Neurospora crassa OR74A: one gene and its partner. The protein of the gene in region 1 binds, or shares a complex with, the protein of each later gene. Links are inferred from orthologs where the notes say so. Each region holds a gene or a part of one and is shown on either strand. Other genes may lie near its edges. The genes, in order: gnb-1 and gna-1.

What was found.
Region 2: the proteins of gnb-1 (region 1) and gna-1 are in contact, whole or in part, in a cryo-EM structure (PDB 7AD3), measured with the Saccharomyces cerevisiae proteins. The link is inferred for Neurospora crassa OR74A from reciprocal best matches to the Saccharomyces cerevisiae genes STE4 and GPA1. Residues at the interface, in NP_014855.3 of Saccharomyces cerevisiae: Asn85, Gly90, His91, Asn92, Lys94, Ser104, Gln112, Asp113, Phe115, Leu117, Ala122, Ser123, Leu125, Lys126, Gln127, Asn128, Ala129, Gln135, Trp136, Leu138, Leu154, Asn155, Asn156, Arg168, Cys182, Tyr183, Asp224, Leu226, Ser248, Asp272; in NP_011868.1 of Saccharomyces cerevisiae: Thr7, Gln8, Thr9, Ile10, Asn20, Lys21, Ala23, Asn24, Ile27, Glu28, Ser30, Leu31, Gln32, Glu34, Lys35, Asp38, Lys43, Thr301, Gly302, Ile303, Glu305, Leu318, Arg324, Ser325, Glu326, Lys329, Trp330, His332, Cys333, Phe334.

What each region holds. Positions count from the first base shown.
Region 1 is NC_026503.1:3,862,958-3,867,333, forward strand, and holds the start of gnb-1 (guanine nucleotide-binding protein beta subunit), read left to right. Parts: upstream 1-1,483; 5' UTR 1,484-2,326; coding exon 2,327-2,453; intron 2,454-2,559; coding exon 2,560-3,278; intron 3,279-3,358; coding exon 3,359-3,568; intron 3,569-3,635; coding exon 3,636-3,656; 3' UTR 3,657-4,376. UniProt on the Saccharomyces cerevisiae protein: Implicated in the a- and alpha-factor response pathway. The beta and gamma chains of the putative yeast mating response pathway G protein play a positive role in initiation of the mating response.
Region 2 is NC_026503.1:1,614,150-1,618,610, reverse strand, and holds the start of gna-1 (heterotrimeric G protein), read left to right. Parts: upstream 1-1,353; 5' UTR 1,354-1,747; intron 1,748-2,207; 5' UTR 2,208-2,281; coding exon 2,282-2,399; intron 2,400-2,497; coding exon 2,498-2,840; intron 2,841-2,898; coding exon 2,899-3,455; intron 3,456-3,514; coding exon 3,515-3,558; 3' UTR 3,559-4,461. UniProt on the Saccharomyces cerevisiae protein: Alpha subunit of the heterotrimeric guanine nucleotide-binding protein (G protein) that mediates mating pheromone signal transduction.

The DNA of each region.
Region 1 (4,376 bases):
TGGACGGCCAGACAGCTCACCGGATTCCCAACTGTATCAATGTCGAATTCGTTGTAGCTCCGTGAGGCAAGGGAAAATCTCAGCGTGGCCGTGGTGGTATTGTATCGAAGTGGGTTTACTAATCAAAGCGATTGAATGATACCGTGCGAGCGTGGGTGCCTGAAATTTGTAAAGTCTGGTTGATTTCAATCGAGTTCATTGCGCGAGCGAACATTTACGACCCCAAGTCCGTCCGGTGGAGCCAGTCCGTGCACATGCATTTGCGTGGGCCGTCTCCGCTCTCCATCGGCGCAAAGTGCAATTCGTCCGCGGGGCCTTGCTGTCCGCCCGCTTACACGTCCCAAGACCAGGGCACTCACTGCAAAGAAGCAGGGTGACCAAGTCCACAGAGAACCCACAGTCTCTTTAGCTTCCACCTCCTGGCTTTTCTTGGTGGAGGTCTCGTCAGTCGGCGGGATATTCTTTGCATCCACTCTGCGAGAAGTCGACATGCGCCCATCAACCACGGGGGAGGAGCTGCACCCGAGGAATGGGGCGCAACGGAGCCTTCAATTTCAGAGATCCATGACTCCGGTGCCTTCGGCCAGGCTTGTTGAAGAGCTTGGCAAGATTTAACTCGTTTTCTTTCTTCCTGTTCCATCGGGGGTGCGGTGCGGTGCAGTCCGGTGCGGCGTGGCTAGTGCGAGGTGTCCATGTCCGCCGTTGAAATGTTGAAGATCAGAATCAGAGGGCAAGAAGTCGAAATAACTGCCCCAGCTTCAAGGTTCACAAATCCCTTTACTCCCTTCTCAAAAGTCCCGTCTTGTTCCATCATCCAAGCCCTTCGGCCCGCCATCCAGCCCGCTGTCCGCCGACCGGGCTCTCCTGTGTTATGGATAAAAAATCGTGAATTGGGCGATCTCTGGGGGTGGCAGGGCCTTCATACCCAAGATGGCAGCTTGTACAAGAAATAACAAGTTTGATCATTCTCAAACAGAAGATTTCTGTAAAACCACTAGCGCCTTGGCTGTACCGCGCTGCTCTTTTACTACTATGTATGTACTATGTAGGTGTAAACTAGGTATATTCATGCAGACGTGTGTAGTGTAGTGTGCTCGCTCCATTGGGGAGGTTTGCTGCACGCATCATCCATCCCGTCCATTGCCTGGGAGACCCGACTGGACACCAACGAACCTGGAAAAACCGAATCCGTTCCTCTGTACCTAGTTGTACACCACAACCTCAATCTGCACTCGCTTCCGCTTCCATTGACACCCGGCTCTTGGGGCTTTTCACTTCCACACTGCTTCACAGGACGACGCTTGACACGGCCTCCATTCCTTCCACCTGCCCCCAAGCGTAGACGTACCCGGACACTAGTACAGGCTAGGTAGTACAGGTAGACCCAGTGCAGGCCTCCCGTCACTCTGTGAGGAGGTTCCGCTCTGCCCCTACAGTAGAGTACAGTAGCCCAGTGCAGTGCACGCAGCGACCCAGCAAAGGCTCCATCGTGCTACCCCCCGACCGGGCCCCTCCCCCCGGGCCCATACCCAATCTGGCACCAGGTAATAATCGCAAGGAAGAGGAACTCTGGCCAGCCTCTTCGTTCGCCAGTTCGATTCGGCCGCCCGCCCACTCGCAGAAGCGAAATCGATCCCCAGTCCTTCTTTTTCCCCTTCTTTCTGTTCTTCACCACCGAACTCCTGTCGATTAGCGACAGCCTCTCCAACTTGCTTTTACGACCTGACAGTCACTCGCGTCGGTCGCGTCGCTCGAGACTCTCTTGTCCATCACTGCCCTGCCACCCTCTCTCGAAAGCTGACGCCACGCACGCCTGCCTTTAGTCTCCATACTCTAGGTTGTCAGGGTCGCTCTTCGCCTGGTCAATATCCGCCATCCACTCATTCGTTCGACAAGAGTCTGTCCGTGGACAAGCAAGAGGCTTTTCCCCCCCAATCCCTCTCCACCACTCTCCTCATTTTTTCCAACAGCAGTCATTTCGTTCAGAGCAGGATCGGGACCTGCCTCGCCTGCCTAGCTGTTTGAATTGGCCCACCACCGCATCGCCCGACCCCTGGAGCTAGCAATTCCTCCTCCACCGGCGCCCCGTACCAGCACCACTGCTTTGCACCATTCTCAACATCCACACTCCAGCAACCGACTCCGACTTGCTGCATCTCTGAAGATCCGACGTCCCTAGAGTCCAACCTTTGTCATCGTCATTCTCCCTGTCTCAACCAGTCACAACAACATCACTTCGGAGTAGTCCGTCCCTCATACGAGTTCGTCGCCAATTGTGATTACGAATTGAACCAACACACCTCAAGAAAAAAAAAAAAAGAGAAAGATGGACTCCCGATCAAGCGATGTGTCGCCAGAGGCGATGCAGGCACGAATTCAACAAGCGCGTCGCGAGGCCGAGAATCTCAAGGACAGAATCAGGCTGAAGAAGGAAGGGCTCGCCGATACTTCCCGTGAGTCCCCTTGTCGGCAGGTCGCGAACTGCGCCGTTGTCCGCCCATGCATGCCGTCGTCAACGGCGGATTGACCGCTGCATAGTGTTGCTGACATGATGTGTAGTCTACGAGGTCGCGCAACAGGCCCATGAGCCACTTCCGAAGAACAACATGATGAAAACAAAGAAGACGCTGAAGGGCCATCTGGCCAAGATTTATGCGATGCACTGGTCTACCGACCGGAGGCATCTTGTCTCAGCATCTCAGGACGGCAAGCTCATCATCTGGGACGCTTATACGACCAACAAAGTTCACGCCATTCCCCTACGATCGTCTTGGGTTATGACTTGCGCCTATGCCCCGAGCGGCAACTTCGTTGCCTGCGGTGGTCTTGACAACATTTGCTCTATTTACAACCTGAACTCGAACCGTGATGGCCCAACTCGTGTCTACCGGGAGCTTTCAGGTCATGCGGGCTATCTCTCTTGCTGCCGTTTCATCAACGACCGCAGCATCCTCACCTCCTCCGGCGATATGACATGCATGAAGTGGGATATCGAGACAGGAACAAAGGTTGTTGAGTTCGCCGACCATTTGGGCGACGTCATGAGCATCAGCTTGAACCCCACAAACCAGAATACCTTTGTGTCAGGTGCTTGCGATTCTTTCGCTAAGCTTTGGGATATCCGCGCTGGCAAGGCCGTACAAACATTCGCTGGCCACGAGTCCGATATCAACGCCATCCAGTTTTTCCCCGATGGCCACTCTTTCGTAACGGGTTCCGATGACGCTACTTGCAGACTTTTCGATATCCGCGCAGACAGAGAGTTGAACTGCTATCGCGTGAGTAACCTGTGGATTATTCTCCTCTCGGTTCTTGATTTTTTTTTCTCTTGGTGGCTTTAGAGCTAACATTTGGGTAGTCCGAATCTATTCTTTGCGGCATTACCTCTGTCGCGACATCAGTCTCTGGACGTTTGCTCTTTGCCGGTTACGATGACTTTGAATGCAAGGTCTGGGATCTTACTCGCGCTGAAAAGGTTGGCTCTCTCGTCGGTCATGAAAACCGTGTCAGCTGTCTGGGCGTTTCCAACGATGGAATAAGTTTGTGCACAGGCTCTTGGGACTCCTTGGTAAGTTTCTACCCGCAACATCAGATCGATATGGTACAGGCCGCAGATTAGACTAACTCCCTCACAGCTCAAGGTCTGGGCATATTAGGCGCATGTGTGATACTGATACGACCGGCACCCTCTGGATACCCGACCACGACGCGTCACTTTGCCAAGCCTATCGAGTGCTTTTTTCTATTTGTTCTATTCAACCTGGTAACGCCTCTTGATCCTTGCGATTTGGCGTAGACAGGACGAAGTCACGACATATTTTTCGACCCAACAATCTCGGCTCCCCGGGCTTGGACCATCATCAACTGGCCTTGCTCCCCGGTTGGAATCCTTTTTAGCTTCTATAGCGGTTTTTCCGATACTCCACTCGATTTGCTGCGTCATATTTTCAGCGGGTTCAGTTCGCAAGGTGGGCGGCAGCGATATCCTGGCTTTGTTCAGCTCTCCGTACGCCAACCCGCCTCTCCCCTCCAGAAAACGTCCCCCCGGATAATATGATCCGACACGTTCATCAACTTCGGGTCGCGTAATTCCCCGGGCATTATTACAGGGACGTCTGTACCAGGTTTTTTGGACCCGGTTTGGCTGGAGCAGAACGTCCAATAATCATCAAGGTCTGGCTCGACGGGTCGTATCATATTCCACATGAGTGGTTGCCAGTGTCTCTCACAGGGGTTGTGTCTTGAACCAGTTTACCGGATACCCTCTCTATACGTATTTATCCACATCTTTGCGCGCATTTTCTCAGCGTTTGGTCTTTCTCTAGTCTATTACCGGCGGGGTGGGTAGGAAACCGTCAGGGTGTCTATTTTCACGT
Region 2 (4,461 bases), about 2.2 Mb from region 1:
AGATGGAATGAGAAGGGGATTATCCTCATAAGCCTCGTTTCCCAATCGCTGAACCGTATCGCACATACACAAAATCCGTGCACGACGTGATGTGCTCAGCGGCGTGATACCATATCAATTGTAGAGATTCTCATGGTCTTTCCCGTACCTTTGCTGATACGCTGTTGCTAATTCTGGCCCGGGACAGTTCAGTGGGTTTCCAACATCTTGTTTTTGCAATCACTCAATCGGTCTCGTGTTGACAGAAGCCATTAATCGCAGTGACTGCGCATTCGTAGCGCATGTAGTAGTGTTGTGTGTACGAAGTCGGTAGTGTGTGTACGGAATATGGAGATGTTAGCGAGGTAGGCACTACACTACGCAGTACATTGCTTCTTCTTCTTCTTCTGTTCCTGACCCGGAGGTACGGACGAAACGGGGCTCGACACGGCTCCAGCGCAAAAACATGGCCGCGTTGGGATGCCGACTAGCCTTTGCCCAGAGATCCACTCTTTGAGCTAAGTCAGGAGAACCAAGAAACATGAAAACTGGAAACGCTTTTTTTCATTCGACCGACAATGGCTGTTATCGGCTGGCCAAATTTCAAACGGTCAGGATGGGCAGTCTTGGGGTAAAATTCGCCCACCGCCATGTGGCCATCCCCTTGGTGATCGCATGGGATGGGCCGGACTGGAGCGAGGAACTGGAGCAGAAAAGGGCGATTGTCGAAATGCAAAGGGTGATGATGGTGGCCAGTGGTGTCCGCCGTTTTTGTTCCATTCCATGTCATGCCAGGTACGGATGCCACTGGAGGCCAGGCCAGGGGCACACGTCGGGTGGGCGATGGATCAAAATGGATAGAGAGGGTCTCGAAGGGGGTGGGCGATGTTACGCTCTTTCCACCGTCGACGCGGTGCATGAACATGAACAGCAGCCTAGAGTAGCATCCACTCACAATGTTTGGAACTAGGAAGCCAGGCACAGGGCAAGGCAGCCAGTCGCAAAGCAACCTCAAAGGGCAAAGCCGTGTTATCAAAAAAAGAGGTTCAAATAGGACGAAAAGGGTCAATGATGGTCGTACAGGTCGGCATCCAAACGAGGAGGAGGAGTCCATCGTCCCAACTCCCAAGACCGGCAGCCCAGGGTCTGTTGCATTGGCCCACTTGCATGCACGCAACGACCGCCTCTGATTAGCCAGAGTGCCATCGCGGCTGGAGCCCATCTCACCTTGGAGAGTGCGCGGTGGGTCTCTGCTGGGTCGCTGCCCCCGAAATTCACTGATGGAACTGGGACTGGAAATCGGAGTGCCGTCTAGCGTAGTGCCTGTACTGTGCGCCTGCCCGATGCCTGTACGCACTACGCAGTCAGCACCTACGCATCAGTGCTGGAGTGTGCCTGGTCGCCTGGTTTGGGTCTGGTGTGAGAGTGCGCACCATTCCATTTCACTCACATTAACACCGACAAAGCCAACCTCCCATTCCTCCACCAATTCCCCAATCTTTCCCTTCCTTTCGTTTTCCGTTTTCCGGCTCGACAACCTTCCTCCCGCAAACCGCGAATTGCTGAGAGAGTCCAGCAGCAACTCTACTCTTGGCCGCCTACCTCGCGACAATCACCTACCTATCGTATGGTCTTGACGACTTTCTAATTATCGAGCTGCACCCGTCTCTCCCTTTCGCACCAACCGATCCGACGCTCCCCTTCCAATCAAGTGCGGTTGATTGAAGGCCTAATTGCAATTGCGTGGTATACTGCCGGAAAAAAAAAAGTGAGTAGGTTCGCAACATAAGCACTTCATTCAGTCCAGTCCACCGCAAGAGAACGAACGCCTTTGCATCCCATTATCCTCTGGCCTCGTCGTGCTGCCCTCAAAGGCTGTCTGTCCTGTTTGCTGCCCATCAATCGCACCTCACCGAGCGCTGCCATGCCCAACAATCGACACCTTCGAAACTGCATCGACCATCGAGCCTCGATCCGACATTTGTTTGCGGTTTCAATGGGCGCAATGACAGCGACTCCGAGGCTTTTCGGGGGTGGTGGTTCTAGCTCGTTTCTGGAAGGGCACCCGCTATTTTTCGCAGCGGAGACTCCAACTGGACTGCCTCCCGTCCCCCCAGAGACCAGGGGGTTCTCGCCCCCCCTAACACTTACAAATACAAATCGCCTGTCGACGTCCCAGTTCGTCTCAATTATCATCGCTCTGATACTAACCTCAAACTCGTCACCAGACCGTCGATAATAATCCCCGAATAACGAAACAGACACTCTCTATCATTGCTACGAGCTACAACAAGTCGCCAAAATGGGTTGCGGAATGAGTACAGAGGAGAAGGAGGGCAAGGCCCGGAACGAGGAGATTGAGAACCAGCTCAAGAGGGATCGCATGCAACAACGCAATGAGATCAAGATGCTTCTTCTGGGTATGTCATGCCCCCCGACAAGCCAATTGCTGGCGCGGCCCTGGTCCGGACCCTTGGGTCACCAATGAAATTTCACAGAAGCTGACAATATGTTGCAGGTGCTGGTGAATCCGGAAAGTCGACCATCTTGAAGCAGATGAAGCTTATCCACGAAGGAGGTTACTCGCGCGACGAGCGCGAGTCGTTCAAGGAAATCATCTTCAGCAACACTGTGCAGTCCATGCGTGTCATTCTCGAGGCCATGGAGTCCCTAGAGTTGCCACTCGCCGATCAGCGCGTCGAGTACCATGTCCAGACCATCTTCATGCAGCCCGCTCAAATAGAAGGTGACGTGCTGCCTCCTGAGGTTGGCAATGCTATCGAGGCCCTCTGGAGGGACGCTGGCGTCCAGAGCTGCTTTAAGAGGTCAAGGGAATACCAATTGAACGACTCGGCAAGATAGTAAGTCTCCGCATGATGAGGGAGGCTCTGGTCTCCAACCGCTAACATGCTGTCACAGCTACTTCGATAACATCGCTCGTATCGCCGCGCCCGACTATATGCCCAACGACCAGGACGTTCTGCGATCACGTGTCAAGACAACCGGTATTACGGAAACGACCTTCATTATTGGCGATCTTACGTACCGTATGTTCGATGTCGGTGGCCAGCGTAGCGAACGTAAGAAGTGGATCCACTGCTTCGAGAACGTCACCACCATTCTTTTCTTGGTCGCCATTTCCGAGTACGATCAGTTGCTTTTCGAAGATGAAACCGTCAACCGTATGCAGGAGGCCCTTACTCTGTTCGATTCCATCTGCAACTCCAGGTGGTTCATCAAGACATCCATCATTCTTTTCCTCAACAAGATCGATAGGTTTAAGGAGAAGTTGCCGGTCAGCCCGATGAAGAACTACTTCCCCGATTACGAGGGTGGTGATGACTACGCTGCCGCTTGCGACTACATTCTCAACCGCTTCGTCAGTTTGAACCAGCACGAGACCAAGCAGATTTACACGCATTTCACATGCGCGACGGATACCACACAAATTCGTTTCGTCATGGCTGCGGTCAATGGTATGTTATTTGTCTACTTCGAAATTTTGCGTGGACAAGAAGCTAACAGACCAAAACAGATATCATTATCCAGGAGAACCTGCGTCTCTGCGGTTTGATTTGAGCACTGAACGCAATCTTTCTAATTTTTTCATCAGTTAATGGGGCTGTGAGGTCCGGACAAGCGGTTGATACCGATCAGAACTTCGAGTATTGCCGCCCAGTCGCTGCCGCTGGCTCCATGCCCACAGTTTCTGCCTCCAGATTATGATCTAGTGGAGGTGGCGTGGGCTTTCGAGTGGATATGAGCTCTACATACACCTCGGGGCGTCCCTGGAGAAATTGCATTTGAGAAGCATCATCAAGAGGGGGGCTAACTATTTTGTTTAATCATGATTCCCCATCGACCTTGGAGTCTTTGCTCTCTATCGGTGTTCTGTACGATTTCTTTTTTTTCTATCATCTTTTCTATCCCCTCTGATCCGGGCGCTTTTCACCTTGCTCTTTCTCCTCAGGGACACCGCGGCTGCTACGGGAAGCAAAAGCCCCTCTCAACAAAAGAAATGGATGATTTTGGCGTGCGTGCTTTTCTCAATCTTACTCGGGTGTTTTTCCATGAGTGGTGTGGGAGAAAGTAATGGGATCCAAGCCCATGGGTTCTGGGGAGAGGATGCTGGAAACAAATAGGTCGCTACCGATTGGAGGGAAGGTAGAGAAGGGAAAGGCGAAGAAAGAGCAGGGGTTACCAAAACCACGACGGACGAAGAGATGAGCGACGCCCGTTTCGTTCCGCTATTCTCCCCTCTGTGGCTGTAAGAGGGCAAAGAAAAACAGAGGGCGGGAAACGTTGCGGCGCGCGCGCGCGTGCAGCAAACGATATACCAAGACAAGCGAGGTCTCTTTTCCTTTTTTTTACTCTACTTCTTCTGTTTTTTCCAAGAAAGCTTATTCGCGTGATGTGTTATCTTTGTTTTTGCAGGCGGCGTGGGAGAGGGGAGCAATGGCGGTCCCGGTTTCCTATGGGCAA